Linked DNA regions of Tribolium castaneum. The protein of the gene in region 1 purifies or fractionates together with the protein of each later gene. This does not show direct contact. Links are inferred from orthologs where the notes say so. Each region holds a gene or a part of one and is shown in the gene's direction. Other genes may lie near its edges.

Region 1 (11,970 bases):
AACATCTGGCGCAGAAGGGGCGGAAATTGGGCTGACGACCCTTCATACCTGCACACTTATCACTTGATTAATTTTTGCCCGCGTTTATCAATTAGAGCGCGCCGATTAATCATGGCTTAATTAGCAATTAAAGATATTTATAGGAAAGACAGACATATTTATAGGTGTAAAGACCAGGCGTCTGGAAAAACAAACAAAAGAACAATTCCGGCTATAAATAAATCACTTGCTAGGGTGGACGAAAAGACCAATTTATATCCCGTATAAGAATCAAAGACCTTGTAGGTAAACAAAGAAATGAGATGACACTCTGCTCAAGCATCCATTACGCCTACAGATCACCGATGTGGGCGCATTGTTTGATTTAAACACCTTACCGAGGGTGTAAAATACCTACCCCAAAAAATTTATATACACGACGGGTGCCAACAATAGCTGGAAATTAAAAAACAATAACCACACAAAGAGACTGAGACAATGGACAAACACGTGATGGGTTTATTTACACGAAGGAATTAGTTTTGAATGACCGCCCTCGTAGTCGTCAAAAATTTTGGCAGTGTTTGTTATTCACACTGCTAAAGTAAACACTAACATTTGACCCTGACGGAGAAAACAAACTCAATGTTTTTTAATTAGAATAAAAATGACAATCAGAATCACATTAAAATTCCTCGACCATTGTTGAAGATCACACCTGATTCAGTGGCGCTAATTCATAAACTCAGGTAAAATAGTTTCGGAAGCAGCCACCGAAAGGTCTTTGATGCCTCTGGAAGGCTTCGCCCATAAAGACGATATTTTTAGCTTTTAGTGCGACACATGCTAATGCTTGGAGGTGCATAATATTTTTATGGTAATGTTTCTTTTAAATGTTAAACAAATGACATCACGTTTACATAATTCCACGACCCAAAAAAATACAATACAATTTTTCGACGAAAACTAATTAGTAATTATTGCAGAAACATGTTAAAATGAGTAACGATAAGTGGTTTTTTAATGACTTATTTGGGTCGATAAGTTGACCACTAAAAGGTTTACTCATTATTGCGATTAGAGCAACGAGACGACTTTTGGAGGCCTTATTTTCGGTCTTGTTGCGCATTTTACGATAACCCTTTTGTGACCTTTTTATCGGAACTGCACCCAAAACTATAATTAAAATTCTTTCCCCTAACTACTCAAGCGAGTGGTCAATTAATTTCTAAAAAAAGAGCGATTTGTGCGAAATAATTATTTACCATGACTGCAAGTTCCACTTGTAATTATTCCAAGCAAGATGATTAACAAAAGTCGCAACCTTGGGCCCAGCACCTTTAGCACCTACACCAACCCGGCACGCTTTTTTACTTAGAAAAAGTACCAAAAATTGGGCAAAATTTTGGAAAAATGGGAGAGGAGAACGCGCACGGTATCGGCACCGAAAGGTTGAGAACCAACTGAATTGCTATAGCATGGGTACTCTCCATAAAGCAGCCTCGGGCTCTTTTGTACGGATTGGTTTCGTTGGTCGATCTTTGAAACAGCTGGAGCTGGGTTTAAGTTCACTTGGCAGTGACCTTGATGCCTCGAAAACGCTGCATTCGCACTGTTTATTGTTCAAACTGTTTAATAAAATATGGTACACGCAAACATTTCACATATTCATGGGAGGCCTCCGCGAAATTCCGCAAAATTAAAATGCGTGACCTTATCGTTCTCCGCGCCGATTTTTTAAAATCCACAAACTGAATAAAATACCTTGTAACACTTTCAGTATGCCGTAAAAACGCTCTTTTCACCGCGGAAGTATTGTTGAGAAATCTTTGATCGAACTTGTTATTGTGCCATAAAAATTTAATTGTACGCTAGAGCTGTTATTAGCCACTATTATCGGTTTTTGCTTGTTTTTGCACCAACAGCCATTTCTCTTCAAGAAAAAGCGAAAGTCTGTGTCAAGTTATTCATTTTATGGGAACACATTAAAAGTCGCTGTCGAAGTAAATATTCTGAAAATATCGCGACCTGAGAACCATAAGGTTCTGACTATTTCACAATTTTACAATATCATATCTTGTCTTCTCAATTGCCTGAAATGTTATCATAAAATATAACACGTATTATATGTTAATCTACAAACAAACAATACACAATACAAGAAAAAAATAGCAAACTTTTCAGACATGCTCTACTTAAAATTTTATTGTTTTGAACTTTTAAATCAATATTTAAGGTTCCAAAGTAACAAATTTTGCCAAAATTACTTCCATGTAGGTACTTTTTGTTTTCTATCAATAGCTAAACGTTACATCATCTAGTTTTCTTTTATTTAACATTTAAAGATCATTAAAATCCCAAAATTCCCAGGTCGTGATATATTTTTTAGGCAAACGTGACCCCCAAAATCACATTCAAATTTTTTTGAAATTTTAGATTTGTCACTAATTTAGTAAGTCTGTAAATTTTCAAATATGTCTGGAATTAATAAAACCACCAATTCCTGGCCCTCTAGTTATGTTATAATTGCGTAAACACGTACATATAATTAATTATAATTTATTCTAAATGCACAAAAAAATCTGGCGACTTTAAAATTCAAAAATAGTAGGGAATTTGTCATTATCACCAGTGCCACATAACCTCAACCTCTTGCGTTGTTGTGTGTTGTCAATAATCGCCCCAATTTCTTACTGTGTTTTTGTGAGTGCTTAAAAAATGACCACCGACACCGAAACCTCCCCACAGCCCAAACCCAAGCGTAAAAGCCGCTCCAAATCCCCTGAATCCCGTAAAAAACGTCGTGACGACTCGCCCCATAAAGACTCCCGGAAGCGTTCCCGCCGTTCGCGTTCACGAGACCGTCGCAAAAGTCGCAAATACCACGACTTGGACCGCCCCCTTGAAGAATACCCTCGGTATTACGGCGAGGATCAAGAACACAAGAAAAACAGCGATAGATATTGGACCAAATACCCCCGCAAGGATGACCATCAGGTGGGTAGTAGGTATTACGGGGGCGAGCCCGACGATAAAGACAAAGAGTCTGAGAAGGAGACGGATAAGTCGGTGATAGCCCCCCGTGAGCGCAAAACCGTGGATTTACTGACACGGACAGGTGGGGCTTACATCCCTCCAGCGAAGCTGCGGATGATGCAAGCGGAGATTACTGATAAGAGCTCGGCGGCGTATCAAAGAATTGCGTGGGAGGCGTTAAAAAAATCCATTCATGGGTTTATTAACAAGGTGAATACGTCCAACATTGGGATTATTTCGCGGGAATTGCTCCATGAGAATGTGGTAAGGGGGCGCGGACTGCTCTGCAAGTCCATAATACAAGCGCAAGCTGCGTCCCCAACTTTCACAAACGTGTACGCAGCCCTGGTCGCTGTCATCAATTCGAAATTCCCTAATATTGGAGAATTGTTACTGAAACGTTTGGTTTTGCAATTCAAGCGCGGTTTCAAGCAGAATAATAAAATTATCTGCATTTCGGCCACGACTTTTGTGGCTCATTTGGTTAATCAGAGGGTTGCGCATGAAATTCTCGCCTTGGAGATTTTGACTCTTTTGGTGGAGACGCCAACTGATGATTCGGTTGAAGTTGCGATTTCGTTTCTGAAGGAATGTGGACAGAAATTGACTGAGGTTTCGAGTAAAGGCATTAATGCCATCTTTGAAATGTTGAGGAATATTTTACATGAGGGGAAGTTGGAACCGAGGATTCAGTACATGATTGAAGTTATGTTCCAAATCAGGAAGGACGGGTTTAAGGATCATGCCGCTGTTATTGAAGAGTTGGATTTGGTGGATGAGGAGCACCAGTTTACACATTTGATTACGCTGGATGATGTTAAGCAATCAAATGCTGAGGATATTTTAAGTAAGGAAACTTTTTAATTAGGTGGAACTGTACTTAATTTTTTATACAAAAAAATCGGGGTATCCAGGTTTTGAGATTTTTTATTATTATTTTTTTATTTCTCAGAAAAAATTATTTTGAAATTTTAATTAATTAATTCCTTAATTTGCCTCGTTCACTCTGTGATTATCCTGTCTAGATGTGTTTAAATTCGACGACAACTACGAGGAAAACGAGGGGAAGTACAAGACTTTGAGCAAGGAAATCCTGGACATGGACAGCGAGTCGGGCTCCGGCTCGGAGGAAGAGTCCGGTGACGAGGAAGACGACGAAGACGAGGACGAAGAGGAAGAAGAAGGCGCCCAAAAGAACGAATCCAACATAATCGACAATACGGAGACCAACCTCGTGGCCCTACGCAGAACAATCTACTTAACCATCCAATCAAGTTTAGATTTTGAGGAAAGTGCCCACAAACTAATGAAAATGGAACTGAAACCGGGCCAAGAAATCGAATTATGCCACATGTTCCTCGACTGTTGTGCCGAACAACGGACTTACGAGAAGTTTTACGGATTATTGGCACAGAGATTTTGTCAAGTGAATCAGATTTATGTCGAGCCATTCCAACAAATCTTCAAAGACACGTACGCCACAACACACAGACTTGACACAAATAAATTGCGAAATGTTAGCAAGTTTTTCGCACATTTGTTGTTCACCGATGCGATTGGATGGGAGGTTTTAGAAATTATGAAACTGAACGAAGAGGATACCAATAGTTCCAATCGGATTTTCATCAAGATTTTGTTCCAGGAATTGGCCGAATATATGGGCTTGGAGAAGTTAAATGCCAGGCTTAAAGATGCGTAAGTGACTGTGTTTGATAATTAACGAGGTTTTGTTAATTTTTTGGATTTTTTTCAGAACGCTTCAGCCACATTTTGAGGGGCTGTTTCCGCGCGATGATCCCAAAAATACAAGATTTGCGATTAATTTTTTCACGTCGATTGGCTTAGGGGGGCTTACGGCCGAGTTGAGGGAACATTTGAAAACAGCCCCTAAAGTCAATCCCTTGACGATTACTGAAAAATCAAGTGATTCTAGCAGCAGTAGCACTAGCAGTTCAAGCTCATCCAGTTCCGATAGTAGTGATTCGGATTCGTCAAGTTCCGAAGATGAGAAACCACGTAAGAAGAAGGAAGAAAAGAAGAGGAAAAAACCGACAAAAGAAGCATCAGACGATGATAAAAAACGAAAAACAGATGCGAGGAAACACAGACATAATGAGAGACGGTCACGCGATCGAGACGATCGGAGGCGGCGTAGGAGCCCCGAGAGGAAGCATAAGAGTAGGAGATAAGTTACTTTGTACATAAATTGTATTGAATAAATATTTTTATTTGTGACTTGTGTTTGATTCCTTAAAGTTACCAGATTTGAATTTGGCGCTTAGTCAAACCCACACTTTTGGCATTTTTTTTGACGAAATGTGGGTGTTAATTAAATTGCGTGTTTGTGCTTTTGCTAAAATGAGACAAATTTGGGTGAAAATTTTAATTTTGGGTTAGTTTTAACTGAAAATTTGGGTGAACAAGGCTTGGTGGTTTTTGTTGGCGAGGTTGGCAAGCAGTTTCGTCGGGTCCGAGCTGTCATTTTGTGTGTCACTAATTTTTGTTCATTGTGTAGTAAATTGGTGCTATCGTGTTAAAAACAATAAATCCGATCAAAGGTATTTTTATGAGGAAGAAAAACAGTAATCGTATTAGTGCAACGTGAGCTATTTAACCAAAGTAAGTAGCTAGAGCCAAGTCGGTAGGTTAGATGAGTGGAGACGATGTTTTTTTTATTATGTCAAATGCGTCATTCGCATTAAAGTAAATCTCAATGTTTCGTGTCGGATTGTAACGGGGTCCTGGACCTGTTGATTGAGGCGTTCGCGGGGCCCCTGAAAAGTCAGCTGATTTCGGACAACGACGCCCTTGAACCCCGGAGCCTTGAGAGCCATACGCCCCCTTCTTTTTTAATTCCACGACACGGTTATCAGCTCTCTTATGTGTTATAGGTCATTGCTGTGAAGCCCCTATCGGGGATTAAAGCCGCACAGACTGGCTTGCATAAACAGATAATTACGAACGTAGTTATGACCACTCGACAACTACCAGAACATTTACCAGAGATAAGAGATTGTATTAATCGCAGAACAAACTTGTAAAATTTCGACCAAGTGCGATAACTCATTTTTTCACACACAAGACCTGAATCTCTTCACGTTGGTGAATTCTCGCGGAGACGTGCTTTCATGCTTTACAAGGCCGGATGTAACATTGCATTATTTGATTATTCTGAAATTATTCCTGTGCCAGGTTTTCCCTCCAATGCCACTGTTATTGTTATGAATAACATTCAGATTAGTCATCCGATTAACGGAAAGAAAGCTGAATTTATACCAAGGGTGGTTGTTTTATCGTAAGTTAGGGGAAGTGACGTCTCTGTTCACAAACAATTGATTTTGAACTTATCAATGATCCCAAAATAAATACGTTTTTATTCAAATTCATTATTAATTGTTAGCTGTTTAAACCCTCTTACCTCACACACTGTTTACTAAAGCGTTGTGAAATAAAAATAAATATCACTTTCAACATTCCCACCTGCTTTAATGAAGAAATTTAATTAATAAAATATTATCTAATGAATGGTTTATCAATTACCTTGTTTTTGCAACATTATCTTTCACACTGGAAGAATAGAATTTTATTTGAGCGTTTAAAATGTTTACAAAAATGTAAAACACATCATTAAATTTCTTGTTTGTTTTATGAATGTTTTATCAAAGTATGCAAAATGAGACTTTGTTTTGTTGCATCGGAAACTTTGAGCCAGAGGCCAACGAATCCGTTTTTTATTAATTTGGAAAATTATTACACGTTTTTATAATCCTTGACTGGATTTTCAATAAAAAATCAATAATTTATGCAATAACTGAATGCATTTTCTATAGCAGTTAGTAATACTCCAACCGGAAACCGCCAAATTACACAGTTTATTTCTTTGATATTAGATTAATTCATATCAAAAATAAAATAAACAATAAAATAAAACCACAGGCCAGGCCAAACGGGCGCTTTCCTCACCCAAAACTGTTTTAAATTTGTGTCAGAAAAATCGATTTATAAATTAAAATATCTGAATATTAAGAGTCATGATTGGTTCAGAAGTCACCAATCTCACTGTTACGCTTGTAAAACATGATATTTTTAGGTTTGAATTGAAAGAGTTAAGGGAATTCCCAAAACATCTTACGATAAAACTGTCTATTTTTCGAGCACATTATTTGATAAGATAGGAAATACTTGGATAATTTTTTTCCTCTATTATTTTTTTTTAGAAAATATAATTAAACTGTTGTCACAATTTTGTGTTTTATTAACCTTTGCTTCTTTGAAAACAACCAGAATTTGACCCCTTGGGTGCAAAATAGTGACTTTTTAGTTAAAATGGTAATGAATCGTATGCATGATATCCTTTGACTTCATTTATGGAAATTAAAAGGCTTTGGAAAAAGGACTGAATAACGAAATTCGGACAATTATTGAAAATATTTATTTTAAGTCGACGTTTTGGATTACAAATCGGATTATTCATGACTAAAAACCCGAAACCAATAATCAAATATATCCTAAAAGTTGTTATTGAATTTATTTAGTGTGGTAGGCATCTAGAGGTTAACTTGAATTGAAATTGAATAACCTTAAGTAAGTATTGTGCATGTCAAGGTTTTATGGCAGAAAGGGCCAGATTTTAGTATAGATAAAATTTTGTCATTGCTAGCCGATATGGCAAACAGGACCGGAACAGCCCAGCGCCCCAACGGTTCAACCCAGGGCAAAATCTGCCAGTTCAAATTGGTGCTCCTTGGCGAATCGGCCGTCGGTAAATCCAGTCTCGTCTTGCGTTTCGTCAAAGGCCAATTCCACGAGTACCAAGAGAGCACCATCGGCGCCGCCTTCCTCACACAGACCGTATGTCTGGACGACACCACCGTCAAATTCGAAATCTGGGACACTGCAGGCCAGGAAAGGTCACCATCTCTAAATTTTCTTAAGAAACATTTCTTAGATAGACAATATGCAGGTATCACAGTTTGGCCCCGATGTACTACCGAGGGGCGCAGGCAGCTATCGTCGTCTACGACATCACCAACCAGGATACGTTCGGACGGGCAAAGACGTGGGTGAAGGAACTCCAGCGACAGGCGAGTCCCAACATCGTCATCGCCTTGGCTGGAAACAAGCAAGATTTAGCCAATAAGAGGATGGTGGAGTTTGAAGAGGCACAGACGTATGCCGATGAAAACGGGCTGCTCTTCATGGAAACGTCGGCCAAGACGGCTATGAATGTCAACGATATCTTCTTGGCGATAGGTACGTTAAGGGTCTTCGGCCTCTTCAAGCTTGGCTGAGCGGTGCTTTCACGGTTTGGGCAAAAGAAATTCAATTTGTGACGTGTTTGCAGCCAAGAAGCTCCCCAAAAACGAGCAGGCGACGGCTCAGGGTGCGAGTGGCCAAGGAAGGAGGCTGGCAGAGGGCGACACGGGGGCTAAAGCCGCAGGCAACTGTTGCAAGTGATGGCCCCTCCAGCCGCCCGGATTTGTGTCTTTAATCGAGTTGAAGGGACTGGACTGTGCGCTCGCACTTTAGTGATATATAAGTGTAATAAGAAGCCCTTTATTAATACCGTTACAACACTCAGTACACTGTCACTTATTTTCGTTCTTTCTCTAGGATCAATTCACTTGGTTGCATTTCAGTCGGATCGTTTTTATTTATACATGTAGCAAGTTGGTGTAACTAAAATCTTGTGATAATAATTTTGAGTTAGAGAGTGATTCAAATAACTTGATATTTGACAGTGTAGAATTGGATTGACGAAATTTACGCACTCTCAAGTCAAATTTTATTCGGTTCTTTGCGTTTGGATTAAGTGCAATTATGAGTCACGTAAGCTTTCAGGAAGTTTTGTCAATCTAATTGATAGATGATTTAAAATTTATACTTGTGTGGGGTGTAAGTTATAAATCGTAACAACTTGCGTGTATTTTAGTGTTTTTCAAATTACCTAATGTTTTCGAGTCCAAAAATATAAAATTTAACCGCCGCGTTCTTTTCGAACCTTTTCATTCTTAACATGATGCATGACTGGAACTTTTAAACTTTTAGTACTATATGTAGTGATTTTTTTTATTTAAATAATGAATTAGCAAAAACCGCTCATTATGTAAGTCATGTGTCATCCGGTCTCGGGATCTATCAAGATTTCGGGGCCTTGAAGCCGACAAATCTTGCTCGATCTCGAGGCCTTTAGTCCTACATTCGTATATAAATATAATTTAGTAGATGTACAATGTAGTAAGGTGGTTGTACAGATTTTAAACATGAGGAAAACTAATATCGTATGGTATGGATGTCTCTTTATCCATGAGTATCACTGTATTATATTTGAATATATTAAATTTATTATTAATTAATAATTTTATTTGCTTGCTTATATATGGTTATCATTATTCTGTATGCACAGAAACTGATTGTACAGGAAGTAAATCATACTCAATAAAGTTATTACAATACAAAATCGTTTACCCTCAGATAACGCTGCGGTAAGTTAAAATACAACAGAACCTCAATACTCTCAAAAAATAAATTCAAATCCGGTTTTTGTCGATTTTCAATACCCGAAACATTTATTGAACTATTAGAGATAACAAGATGAAGTTTATTATCGTTGGAAAGCTCTTTGCATTATCTACCTTTTTCAAAAAAGACTATTGTTCTCCGACTAATAGTTTCCTCGCAAATTGCAAAAATAGGTAAAATTAAAAAAAAATCATAACCAAAAAACTATTGGGAATTTGGCGATTTTCTTGATGCCCGGGATCATTTTGCATAGGTATGGATCAAAATAGTTTCGTTCTTTCGAATAAGTTTGTCGTAAATAAGAAAAAACCATATAAAATGGTCAATTTTTATATCTATTAAAAAAAATTAAGACGATAAGGAAAAAAGGCGTTAAAAAAGTGCAAGGCCTAAAAAACTCTTAATTTTGCTGAACATAAGCCCAAAGATTCAGTTCAACTGCTGTCTCTTCTCGGACCCCCCTTAGTTGGGGTCCCGATCTATTTTCGTCCCCAATAACGCAGTAGGCGACGTAGTGGGGAAAAGTGAGCTGGGCACACAAACGTCAAAACATGCCGTCCATATCGCACCACTAAATCAACAAGAGCACGAAAATTCAAATTTTACGTTTCCCTCGCTGAAAAAATGTCCAAATCCAACACCGACAGGGACGTTTGCCCTGTTTTTGCCTCCAGTGGAAAATGCGGTGAGCAGGACGCCCTCGACGTCATGGAGCAGTTCCGCAGCTTCTACGAGAACAAACTCAACGAGATCGACCACCAAGGGGGCGGCGACTGTCTCGAGGTGCGTTCTTCTACCCCTTTCCTTAACCCCATTTTCCAAGGGGCGGTGGGTGTGGCCTGCTCTTGACACCATTCCGAGCGCCATCTTTACTAACCCGCTAAATTTAAATTTCACAGCTCAAACTCAAGGTCCAGAGGAGATGGATCGACGATCTCACCGAACAGACGCAAATGATGGCCAGAATTGTCAAAGAACTGGAAGATGAGGCCACGAACAGGGTCCGCATGCTTGAGGATAAGTTGCGGCAAACTTCCAAAAGTGCTTATGAAGTAAGTTCAAATCAGAAACAAAATGATTTTTTCGGGCGTTTTTCGCGGCTTTTCCGGGCGCACTTTCGATATTTTCCTCGCCTACAGTGAAATCGTTGTTGAGTGATACAGTGGGGATTTTTCTGCAGGTGATGAAAAGGTACCAAAACTACAGTATTACACACAATTTAGATGAGCCTTTCCAGAAAGTTTTTTACTTGGAAAATGATTTGAAAAACTTACTGGAGTTTATCAGGAGAATTAGGGAGGACCGCAAGTGGAGTATCGACGGACTGCAGTTTTATGACATCACTTATAAAGATTTGTTTGGCAAAGAACAGTACGATAGCAATGACAATAAGTAAGTCCAAATCTCATTAATTAAACAGAAAAATCGTTGAGAGTAATTTATTTTAATCAATTATTTTTTAATTGTAGGGAAAGAAATTTGGTTCCGGTCGCTTCCAAAGACGCAAATAAGAGAAAGGTAGGCAAAAAAACACTAAAATTGATTCTACAAGTGGTAGATAAACGAAATAAGCAAAATATTAAAGACAAGTGTAGGTGTCGTCACAACTCTCCCAAACGTGCAATAAGTCCTTGTAACCCCTGTCGTTGTTGTCCTGCACTTTTGTACAACAATTGTAAAAAAATCGGCTTTTAAATACAACATTCCCCACGCTTTCCTTGTTTTAATTAATCTATTCTATTGTAGGGAACACCGTCCGAGGCGAAAGCCGAGTAAGTAACTTTGTATAGCAATTAAATAAAAAATGACACTTGATTTAAGCGAATCGGTTGACGAAAATGAGAACAACAAATGCGGTGATGTTTTTGAACAGTTGAAAAGGAAAACAATCGAATATGAAGCACTCAGGCAGGTGAGTGATCAATTATTCCACTTGTTAATGGATTAATAAATTTTCTTAGTCAATGTTGGATATGAGAAGTGCTCTGACCGAAGAAGTGGCCTGTAAGCACGACATGATTTCGGCCCTTAAAAAAGATATTCAACAGTTGGAGGAACGGTGCGTCCAAGCTGATAAACAAACAGCCTTCAAGGACGATATAATCAAAGAGTTGCGGAAGGAAATTAAACAGTTGAAGCAACAAGTAAGTGGGAGGAACCCCTATTTTGTCCCCGAGACTCCTTTTTTCCTCCAGATTTGTCCCGAATTCCCTTTAAAAAAATGGAAAAGTCGCGACAAGACCGTCTTGACAACGATTCGACATAATCGCACGTGCGAAAAACCCAAATATTCGACTGTGATTTTTATCAATGATGAAAGCAAAAAAAGTGAAAGGAAGGATTTGAACTTGTGCAAGACAGAAAGTGTTCCCTCGTATTTGACGGAGGTTCCGGTCAAGGAAAAATCAAAGTTTACTGTGACGAGTTTTAATA
Region 2 (11,203 bases), on another chromosome or scaffold:
ATATTATTTGAAAAGTTGTAAAAGTCGATTATTTTTTCGACTTACGTAAAAATAACTCTTTACATAATATACGTGCTCGAAATTCAAATGCGCTTCAGTTTGATGTTTTAATTCTATTCTAAAAATTTACAGCGAGTTACAACGAAAAAATGCGAATAACCAAATTTGTTAAAAATGTTGTTCCCATTATTTTTGTATGATAAAACTCCCCCTGTTTATAAATTGACATTTCTGAAGTAAAAATAATAAAAAACTTGAAATCTTGAGCAAATATGCTGTAATTTTATTTTAGTGTTTAAAGTACTCGAATTTAAAGTTTTCGAATAATTCGCGAAAGCAAGTCAGTTTCCACTGCATTCCTTTTAGAAGTTATGTCTTTAATACTCGTACTTACTTATTACTTAACAGACGGTAGAAGACGGTATTTAAGATTTGCAAGGATTTTTCCACAATTTTGTGATTTAAGAATATAAATTGTTGAGTTCATTTTATTTTATTTTATTTACCTTACAAAAACTTTTATTCTGCTGCGGAATATTTGAAATGTGACTTGATTGATTGTAAGTGTTATCATTAGTTATTAAAATTCTATTTTTTTGTCTTTTTTTCTCAAGTATTTTAGCGAAAACTGTTATACCTAGTCGAACCGAAATCAGCATTTGAATTTGTTTCTACCTTTCGTTATAACTAAAATTAATTTATAAAAAATACTAATATCTAACAATAAAAAAAATATGAACGATTTCATGATTTTAAGTGCTATTTTAAAACAACGATGTTTAATGATGTTTTTAGTAAAAATTTATAATAAAATTGTTACCTACTACCTACTTATTTGAAGTTTTAATTTTACTTAGTTAATTATTTACAAAATTGTGTATAATTATTGTTTTTGAGATATCATAAAAATATACCTACTTTTAACAGATTAACTCTGTACAATATAAAGCGTCCGGCAAAAGTATGTACTTTAGTCTTTTTTTTACCTAAACTGTTTATTTTAGTTAAATCTACAAGTTTTTTTATATGGCTTCTCTGTGTCTTTGGATCCAATCATTTCTCATAACTCCTGGCATGGTTAACAAATAGAAAAAATAAAGATGTTACATTTTTAAAACGTTGTTTCTTTTCTTTTTCATTAAAAATTATCTACACTCATTATTATGTTTGATGCAATTTTTTGTTTATTAAAAGAACTATAAATCATATAGTTAATAACGTTAAGAAAAATAAAGGCAACGATAAAGAAAGTAACGAATGAATAATAATAAATAATAAAACTTTCATCAGAAATACTTTAATGTTTTAGATATGAGTAATTTAAAGCCAGATATTAAAAATGCACAAAAAAGCGAACAAAACAGTACATTTTAATTACTCTGGAATATATTTGCGTTTATTAATACAGTACATAAGATAGTAAAAAAAAAATTGCTATTTTTTCATGGTATTGCATTTTTTTCTCTCTAAGCGTGTGAATTTATCCGAATTTTTCTACCCTTTTTATAATTAAAATTAATTCACAATTAAGTACTCAAAATCTCACCGATTTTCTATTACCTAAGCAGCATAAGGGACCATTTTTATGGTGATAATAATAATGCTGTCTAAATTTCTAAAGAAATTGAAACATCAATTTGAAGTGCATTTAGTATACGCTATAAAAATCAGAAATATTTTTTGCCTATTCTGTTGTGACTGTTTTTACCAAAAAACCGTCTTTCGTCAGACGGCGGTCCATTCGGAATCGTTAGAATGTTAAAAAAAGAGCCATCCCATAAAAAGATTCCATTGGTATCATTTTGCTGCATTTCTGCATATCTGCTAAAAAGTATTGAAATAACTTTAAAAATAAATATCAATTAAAACCAGTTTGCTCCCAATTAAAATGTCAGTAATGATCTAGTTGATTACATCAAACTGTTGCAACTGTATAAGAAACTTGCTTAACGAAATATTCATGCAAAGATCATGCAAATGAACGCTTGGCGATGAAAAAAAAACAATAATTGTGTTTAAAATAGTTGTGAGGTCCGTCCCGGGTCATTTCAAGTGTTTAGAAAGGTTTTATTTAGTTTCGTAAAGCCTCCAAGGTTGAGCATTTTTACTTTTTAAATATTTGCCTTGGGTTTAACTCAAAGCTGGACCGTCTTGACCGAAGGGTGAACAAACAATCCCTTCCTTTAAAAGACACCATCACCCAAACATTTCCTCGTCAATTCGAGTTAATTCGGGTGATTAAGGTAAAGCCGACATCCACTCGCCTATGCACAAAGAGTGGCCTAATCTGCATTGACCAGTGTTTCACGCCTTGCTAATCCCCGGACTCGGCCCGGAATTACCGGACTTTGCTAATGGACGCCGGCCAGTGCCGGATTAATCCGGACAAAGAGAATTTTCTATAAGATTCATTTTTCGCTTGCAGATTCCGGCTCGGAGAGCGGGTCGCACAAGGGCGGCGGCGGCGGCTTGAGGAAGGGCTCCGGGGGCGGCGGCGGCGGCAGCGACGGCAAGCCGACGCGCGTGCGCACCGTCCTCAACGAAAAACAATTGCACACGTTGAGGACGTGCTATGCCGCCAATCCTAGGCCTGATGCCCTCATGAAGGAGCAGCTGGTGGAAATGACGGGACTTTCCCCGAGAGTCATCAGGGTTTGGTTCCAGAACAAGAGGTGCAAGGACAAAAAAAAGACCCTGCTTATGAAGCAGCAGATGCAACAGGAAAAGGTTAGTTCTTTCTTTAGTGAATTAGCCAAAGAAACAGAGCATTAGGTATTTTTGTGAGCGAGGTAATTTGTCGGCGTTAAATTTTAATTAACTATGAAATTAGTTCAATTATTTCGAATGCGGCATTAGCACGAATTAAGTGGAGCTACACATCTAGAAAAAATAAAACACCTAAGTGAGTCATTTATCTTTTTGCCGATTTAATTCACTTCGGAAAAATGTGATTTGCTATGGTGTAATTATTTGACTTTTTCAGCAAGTAATTAGAGAATTTACATTTTTGTGACATTAACAATAAATAGCCATTACAAAAACCGTGATAATGCATTAAGACCTGGTTTCTAGTACGATTTAAACCGAGTTAAAGTTTATCGGTTCCATATAATTACACTGGTAATGTAATTGTTGAACAGATAAAATTAAATTGGTGTTACGTTGTACTAGGAAATGGCCCTAAGAGATGCCTTATCTTCTTTGTGTCCGAACTAAAACATACTCACTTGTCAGAATAAAACGGAAAATGTTTAAAAATTTGGTTTTGCTCAATTTTTTGTGGTCCAGTTTTTTTATTTTTTCAATTTATTTACAAAAAATATATCAGGAGTATAATTTAAAAAATGGTGAGTGCAAAAAACATGTAGAAGTGATGGTTTACGACCAATGGTATTTAATTAGAGGTTGCTAAAAAAATACAGTACCTGACAACTAAAATTAATTTAGAAAAATATTATTTTTCAAAAACTGGCAGCAGTTTAGGCAAAAAGCGCTTTGTCCCATATTTTTATCCATCATCTGCAATATATTTTTTAAAGAAACGTAATGGTTGTGTAATAAAAAAATGGAATTTTGGTTATGGAAGTTGTGTTACAGATGTAGCTTGTGTAAGAGTTTTTTCATTTTTTATTTTTGTATTGTAAATTATAATATAATTTAAATACTTAAAAATAAATATGCAAGCCAATTACTAAGCCAATTTCCTATTTTAATTTTTTATGATTTTAGGATTTTAGTCGGCTAGTTTTTGTCATAAAATTATCTATGATCTGTTAATTAAGCTTTAAAATTGTGTAGTAAAAATAAAAAAATTAAATCAAATTAAAAAAATTCAATAAGAACCAAAAACTTTATTTAAAATAAGGACAGAGGTATTTAGTTATGCATCTTTATTAGCCCCAAAAAATGCTACTATAATTAATAGCAGAATAAACATTCATTCAAAAAGTCCAAAATTCGATGATTTCACTATAGTTTGAAAATTATTGAATACCGCCATCTGAAGGATCCTTCAGATACGTCAGATACGACATTTTTTCCAAGATGAAAATAAAGAGCTAACTCTGTTTGTCGTGAAGATTTCAAAAAGTGTAACCGACAGAAAAGATATAGGACCTGTTGATAAAAGTCCTCATAAAAAAAATTCAAAGTTCCTAGTTCCGGATGTTCCGCCATCTCGAAAATAATTACATTGGAATCAGTTTTGGTCGCTTTTTAAAGCCGTAGAACATTTTTTAACTTGAAAATTACTTTCAGTCGTTTTATACAAGCAACATTAAGCAACACGTGACCAAATTGAAAAATTTGATTGGTCTATTCGCGTAGTTAACTTTTAACAACGAATTAAATTTTAACAAAGTCTTTCTATAAACCGGCTCTTAAAATCACTAAAATACACCTACCTTTTTGGGGGGTGTTTGGTGTATTAGATAGGTTGGTAGTATTCCTCCGCCGATTTTGCACCTGTCAAATTTTGTGTTTCTGTCAAATTCGAATTCAAAACGTGTTGTGTTAAAGCCTTGGGATTATTTGAAGGCAAACATTAAAACAGTTTAATGAATTTTCTCAATACCTAGTGTATTATACTCGTACCTCATTACAAATATTCTTTGTTAAACCTTAACATTGTAACTCACTGTACTACAACTTTTAGCGCGGAGTACTAATCGTAACTCCCTAAAAATAGTACCTTTACCAAAGAGTCGTGGTTTATTTTTCCACAAGTGTATTAAAAATGAGTCGAAAAAGAAAGTTTCTTGTTTTTACAATCCCATTGGGGCAAGTCAATGTGTCGCACAGCCGTACACACAACCGTGTTATTATTGATTAGTGGCGTAGCATCCCAACAGATTGCCCAGTCTATAATTGAATACCCCCCACCTCTCAGGTCGTTCACGTCGTAAATCTCAGGAGGCGTTTCTTATCAGCTGAGCGTGTCCCCGCCTCTCGTCGTCAACCAATCGTCTGCGTCACACATGAGCTCAACCGGTCGATTTCGCTTTTTTCTGAGGGATATAGAGGGGGTCGTGTCTTTCGGTTGGCACTCACTGGCCCAACATTTAAATCGCAAACATGACTCAAACTAGTTTTTTAACCTTGGAGAAGATGACTTCTCATTGCATGCCCCTTGTTGTCTCGGCATGTTATTTATGGGTGGTATGAGAAAACGGATGGCGGTTGAAGAATAATTCCAGTTAAATTAACAAATATTTAATGCTCTGGTTGTTGTTTGTACCGTTGTAAAATTGTACTTTTTTATGTTTCCCGTTTAATGTCTAACATAACCCAGTATTACGTGCAGGATGGGCGAAAATTGGGTTACGGTGCCATGCAGGGTATCCCAATGGTAGCGTCATCACCTGTACGACACGATTCACCCATCGGTGTCCATCCCCTTGAAGTACAAGCTTACCAACCACCATGGAAAGCCCTATCAGATTTCGCCCTTCATGCAGACTTAGAGCAACCCCATCAGCCGGCCTTCCAGCAGCTCGTCAACCAGGTAATAAGCAAATTCCCCCATCGCCACATACTTTATTTTATTATTACATCAGAAGGAAAATTTTGCATCGGTTATTAAATTAATCACTGCTTGTTTGCTTCGCCTAATTTAAGGCATAACAGTAAAAAATTAAGACAAGAGAAAACATTATTTCATGCATAGGTAATATAAATATCTGTAAAATAAATTGCTGTGATTTAGACATAATAGGTAGGTACCTATTCAATAATCCATAAAATTATTATTTTAGGCAATAGCTTTCAGTCAACAAAATATTTTTTATTTTCAGCTGCAATACCTAATAAAGCCGTCATATAGGTACTACTTAGTTGGTTGTTTGGCTGACAATTCTTACATGCGGTGCGACGGTCTTAAAATTTGCTTAATTAATTAATGTTTCATTTTTCTATAACTAGATTATACCGTGTTATTTCGCTTCTCGTGCAAAAATGAAGTGTTTATTCTATTCAATAATATCTAGAAATGTAGCTATGAAAAAAAATGCACTTGAGAAAGAGAAATTTTATATGAGAATGTCATTTTTTCAATAAAATAACGGATACTCGTAGGAGAAATAAGTCGAAGAAAAAAAAAGAAGAAACTGCAAACTATTTAAATACTTATTTATTAAAATTTACTTACAAGCCATTGTCCAGCACGAAGGAGACAAAGGAAATATTTGCTAAAGCTGTTATACGTAAAGAAAATTTTTACAAAATGTTATTTTCCGCTTTATTTGAAATTTTTTTGAAACATTACAACTCTCGGAACTATTATTTCATCGTCCAGTGAGTCAAGAGATACCTATTAAGTATGGAAAACAAAGTTTTAATTTTTTATGTTTGTGTTTTTGTGCCGTTATTGATAATGCCGTAACAGGCGAAACTAGTCGAATGAAAATAAATTGAAGAAAGTCAGGATTCCAATCATTTATGATAATTTTTAACGTTTTTCTTTTAATGAAAGAAGTTTTTCTCTTCGTAATTTGTAATATTGCTAATAATTTTTGTCCAACAGATGCATGGGTACGACCTGCCGCCCCCGTCGATGGGCCCCGCCACCGGCCCACCCCCGGGTATGCTGCCCTCATCAGCGCCGCCGTCTGACGTCATGACGCATCCCGACAGCACCGATAGTTACGTTACCTACCTCGAAAGCGACGAGAGCCTTCCCGCCAGTCCCTAACACCCCCACAACTAGCCGTCGCCGCTTCCGCCCCTAAACGCTCTCACACCCCTTCTCACCTCTTTCCTCCTTTACCACCACCAAGGACTGATTCGGCGGCTGTGCAGACCACCACCCTAGTAACCACCACCATCATGGCTACAATTTCAGGACGATAAAGGAACGAACAAAACGAACAATCACTTTTTTGGTTTTTCATCATCACAATAAGTGGCCAGAACGAATCTCAATTTAATCAAAATCAAAATTTCAACACATATCGCCACTTTGCGTTGATCTCACTCGAGAGTCATCGAAGTTTTCACATGGTTTTTGTTGGCCAGTCTCAATATTCCTTGTTTTACGTACAGTTGGAGAAAAAATACTGAGTGGTATTTTTTTCCGGCTTTACAGTTGTATCATTAGATGTTTTGTTGATGTTGTTATTGTCGGGGTATGCGTGAAGCAGTTTTTTACTAATACACTGTACCATATTGTAAAATTATATATCTAATGTAACATTTGATTGTACAATTTGTTATGGAAAATCTAACTTTGTCGCTAATTTGTAGGTGTTATTAATTTTAGATTTACTACTGTGCATTCGAATGTATGATATTTTTACAGAGCTCTGTATCACATAATTTATTGCAATGAATTTATAAAACTGTATTTGATAAGAAATAAAACAGCAAGTTATCTGTAAATAATGTTACATTAAAAAATTAATTTGTAAATAAATACATGAGATAATCGCGCGCCTTTTATTTCCGTCAACAAAAAAAATGACAGTCAGCAGAAGTCAGTCAACAAAATCCAAGGTTGCCAACCCAAACAGTCATTTTCAATCACTCGTATTACGTTGTCAAATGTCAATTAAACGTCAGTTTGACATGTTTGTAAAGCGATAATGGCTGAAGCAAATTTGATAAAAGAGGGCTTCTTGTGCCCCATTTGCCACAAAGACTTGCGTTCCCCGAACAATCTGATTGCCCACTTCCAAGACTTACATTCCGAAGAACAAGACATCCTAAAATCCATCAAAGGTGAGGTTATGTCAGCTGTTCTCAACACTTAAACGTTCAATTTTCACAGATTTGTACGGCAAAGCCAAGAAAAAGATATTAAAACTTGACGAACAAGACTTGGAAGTTTTCAAAAATGAAATCACCTTAGAAAAGTATTATTTAGAGATAAGTGAGCCGCAAGAACCCGGTCAGATCCGGAGTCACACTGATTATTTCAAAGCCGTTCGTAGAGAACGACTCGATCATCGAACCACCGAAACTAATAAACTTATTATTAGGTTGGATAGGTTGTTGAGGTTCTATGGGTCGGATCGTAAACAGCAAGAGCAGGAGTTGGTGGCTTGGTTGGATGGTTCCACAGTGACACGCTGTCCTTCATGTGCGTCTAGTTTTAATATTACAAGGAGACAGCACCATTGTAGGTTATGTGGAAGCATTATGTGCAACGCGTGTTCCTATTTTTTGCCATATGAGACGGCTCGTAAGTCATTTTTTAAACACCAAGATACAGTATAATTTTTCATTCCAGAAGCGATAGTTGCCCCCGTTCACAACGTGGACGTAAACAACCGGGAGCAAGTCCAAGGTAAGGAACCAGACAGCCTCCGTATTTGCAACCATTGCCTCGACATGCTCGAGAGTCGCAGACGCGTGCAACTCGAACAAATGAGACAACCAATAATTTGCCAATTGTACAACCACCTACAAAACCTCAAATCCCAAACTCAGAGCTCCGTTGATTTGTATTTAAAAATGTACAATTCCCTAACGTCCGGTGAGACCACGTTTCAACTGCAAGACACTCAATCTTTAAGGGCTTCAATTGCCAAAAAAGCCGAATCAATTGATATTTTGAGTAAAAAAATCGCATCCTTGCCTGTGGACGAAGAAACGCCTAAAGTCGAACTACTACAAAATAGTATAAGACGGGGGACTTCTCATTACATTAAAGACTATTTATTAACACTACCAGCGCCCCCTTCTGTCCAAGAACTCGAGAGAATTAAACGCGAACGCTCTCTGAGGAACACTGAAGAGGAGAATCAATTGGCAGTCAAAACGAACATAAAAAGAGTGACAGTGACCACAGGTTGGTCACCTGCAGCTGTGAGTAATGAAAATACCGAAACTGAGGACCCGCTAATTGAGCAAATGAATATTGTGCGGAATTATATTGACCAAGCACGGAAAGCGCAACGATTTGAAGAAGTGGCCTCGCTTCAGGAGAATTTAAAAATGTTGAAGGAGACATACAAACAGCAACAATTGACGAGAGATAGCTAAATAAATTAACCCATTTTTTGGAACTTGGTGCTGAACAAATATGAAATACTGTAATTATTTATTAACTGCATGTTCACTAGTCACACTATTGCACTGTATCTATTATTATTTACCAAAATATATTTTTAATTAATACATAATTAAATAACAAAAATCAATTTTCTCTTAAATTGTGCAAATTTGGTTTTGCGACCTCTTCATCATAGAATCGATTGAGGAAAATTAAGGGAGTGAGTGTCGGTCTTCCGTGAGCGCATTGAAACGGCAACTTGCACTTTGCCAAATTTTTCAAATGTGCAAAACACTCGTTTTTGGTCAAAGAATCTCCGAATTTAATTGCACCTAAAAATAGTTTTACACTAAAATTAATTTGTCAATCGGCAAACCTCTGCAAGCCTCGGAATTGACGATATTTTGTATAAGACTCGGAGTATTTACCATAATTTCGTTGTTAGTTTTCAAAAGATCAACAATTTCTTTGATCAAAGTCTGAGTCAAAAACACAATATCGACCTACAAAACTGTGACAATTACTACAACAAGTGCAACCAAATGTACCCCTTTTTTCGACTTGTTGTAAAGACACAGCGGCACTTGATAAATGGTCAACCCGTTGGTGAAAAACTCCAAAACGAGACCTAGCGACTTGAGATTAGTTTTTTGTCGCTTGAGGAGCGTTAAGTCACTTTGTGGCAAAAAAATTGTAATGTCTTGGTCAAGTTTCGTGGATGCGTTTTTGTAACCTGTAATTATCTCAGTTGAAGTTTTTACACAAGTGTGACACGACCTTCCGATAGCTCCTCCAAACGCACCCTCTCGTGCACAGCATGTTGGTCAAACAACACAACCAAATTCCTCGTCCGTTCCCACACTGCAATAAATTTGCAATCAACCTGGCCGATAATATCAACATTTTTGAATAAATCCTTCGTGAAGCTTATATTTTCAAAATCCTTGACATGTCTATTGTACGCATTAGGAACCTCACTTTCGATTAATCTCGACTTTTCCACATAAATTTCATCGAAGAATTTCTTCGGATCTGTAACACGTTCATGTGACAAGGCAACGTTTCGTAAACAATTACCCCCATCATCAAGACACTTCTGCCACTTAACCATCAACAACTCGTCTTCGTACGATTGTACGAGCGCATTTTGTAGCTGTTGCCTCGATTTGGGGCTCATGTCGTCCACTTTGCCACAATCTTTCAAAATCGGAGACAGGCCTTTGGGGACAAAGTCAAAGCGTTCGGTCATTTCAAAAGTAATGTCGTTGCCAGTTTTCCTTAACCAAAGGTTCTGATGTTGCGTAAATGTGGGGGCTATGACAATATCCTCAGTTTTGTTTTTCTCAATTTCCTCATCCAGGGTTATTAAAAGCCCACTTTCGGATGACTTATCAAATAAATCTCGCGACTCTTCCAAAAGGGTGTGTTTCGGGGTTTGAACCCTTAATTTACAACTCTTAGATTTTTGAGGCGTGAAGTATTTACTAGTATGTGATTCGTTCAAAATTCTTTTCGTATTGTCTTTTTTAATAAACTTAAAATCAACTGTATTATCCAAGTCATTTGACCAGTTCTCTTTATTCGAATCAATCTCAAATTTGCTAGCTTTGGCCTTCTTAGCAAAATACGGCGATTGCCTCACTTGATCAAACGTGTTTTCATTAGCAAAAATATTAAAACTGCTACGCCTTGTATTACGAAAATCGAACAATTTCTTCGGCTGATTGAAATGTGTGGGCAAATCTGGCGTTTTAAAATGAAAAGTCGGTAAAGCTTCGACGTTGGAAAAATCAAAATCATAGTCAGACACATATTTAGACATAGCTTTTCGTGGTGTGACCCCAAATACCGGTATGTTCCCCGGTCCTGCCTGAATACCCACTGAAACCATATTCTCCTTAATCGGAGATTTTTGGGAAAGAGCATTTTTTTCATTTGGTGATTTATCTAAAGTAGTTTCCATATCCACTACATTATTTAGTTCGGGTTCAGTTTCATTAGCCTTATCTTCAGGCGGGAACACGTCCAGTGACATTATAAACATATCCATAATCACGTCTTTCCCCTTCTTTTCGTTATCAGGGTAATTGGTATAGAGGCTATTATCCATTATACCTTCGCTCTCCCTTTTCTCCCCCTTTTTCACCTCAATGGGCAAAGCCACCTTCGTTTGCTTGGACACAACCCTCGGTTCCTCAAAATAGGGCGTATCCT

Evidence for each region.
Region 2: the proteins of Rab5 (region 1) and Rbsn-5 purify together in Drosophila melanogaster (affinity purification with western blotting; 3 studies listed by BioGRID, with this or other methods). This does not show direct contact. The link is inferred for Tribolium castaneum from reciprocal best matches to the Drosophila melanogaster genes Rab5 and Rbsn-5.

The regions. Positions count from the first base shown.
Region 1 is NC_087398.1:667,335-679,304, reverse strand, and holds Rab5 (ras-related protein Rab-5B), read left to right. Parts: upstream 1-5,463; 5' UTR 5,464-5,634; intron 5,635-7,675; 5' UTR 7,676-7,680; coding exon 7,681-7,925; intron 7,926-7,978; coding exon 7,979-8,268; intron 8,269-8,359; coding exon 8,360-8,472; 3' UTR 8,473-9,475; downstream 9,476-11,970. Other genes in the region: ncm (pre-mRNA-splicing factor CWC22 homolog), read left to right, coding at 2,698-3,862, 4,041-4,710, 4,769-5,204; myosin-10, read left to right, coding at 10,162-10,320, 10,437-10,589, 10,718-10,929, 11,007-11,055, 11,284-11,309, 11,359-11,449, 11,499-11,681.
Region 2 is NC_087396.1:24,289,646-24,300,848, reverse strand, and holds Rbsn-5 (rabenosyn-5), read left to right. Parts: upstream 1-7,523; 5' UTR 7,524-7,577; coding exon 7,578-7,713; intron 7,714-7,762; coding exon 7,763-8,176; intron 8,177-8,224; coding exon 8,225-8,979; 3' UTR 8,980-9,110; downstream 9,111-11,203. Other genes in the region: tup (tailup), read left to right, coding at 2,426-2,727, 5,291-5,503, 6,521-6,688; uncharacterized protein LOC103313509, read right to left, coding at 9,134-9,321, 9,366-9,492, 9,538-9,722, 9,767-10,021, 10,067-11,203.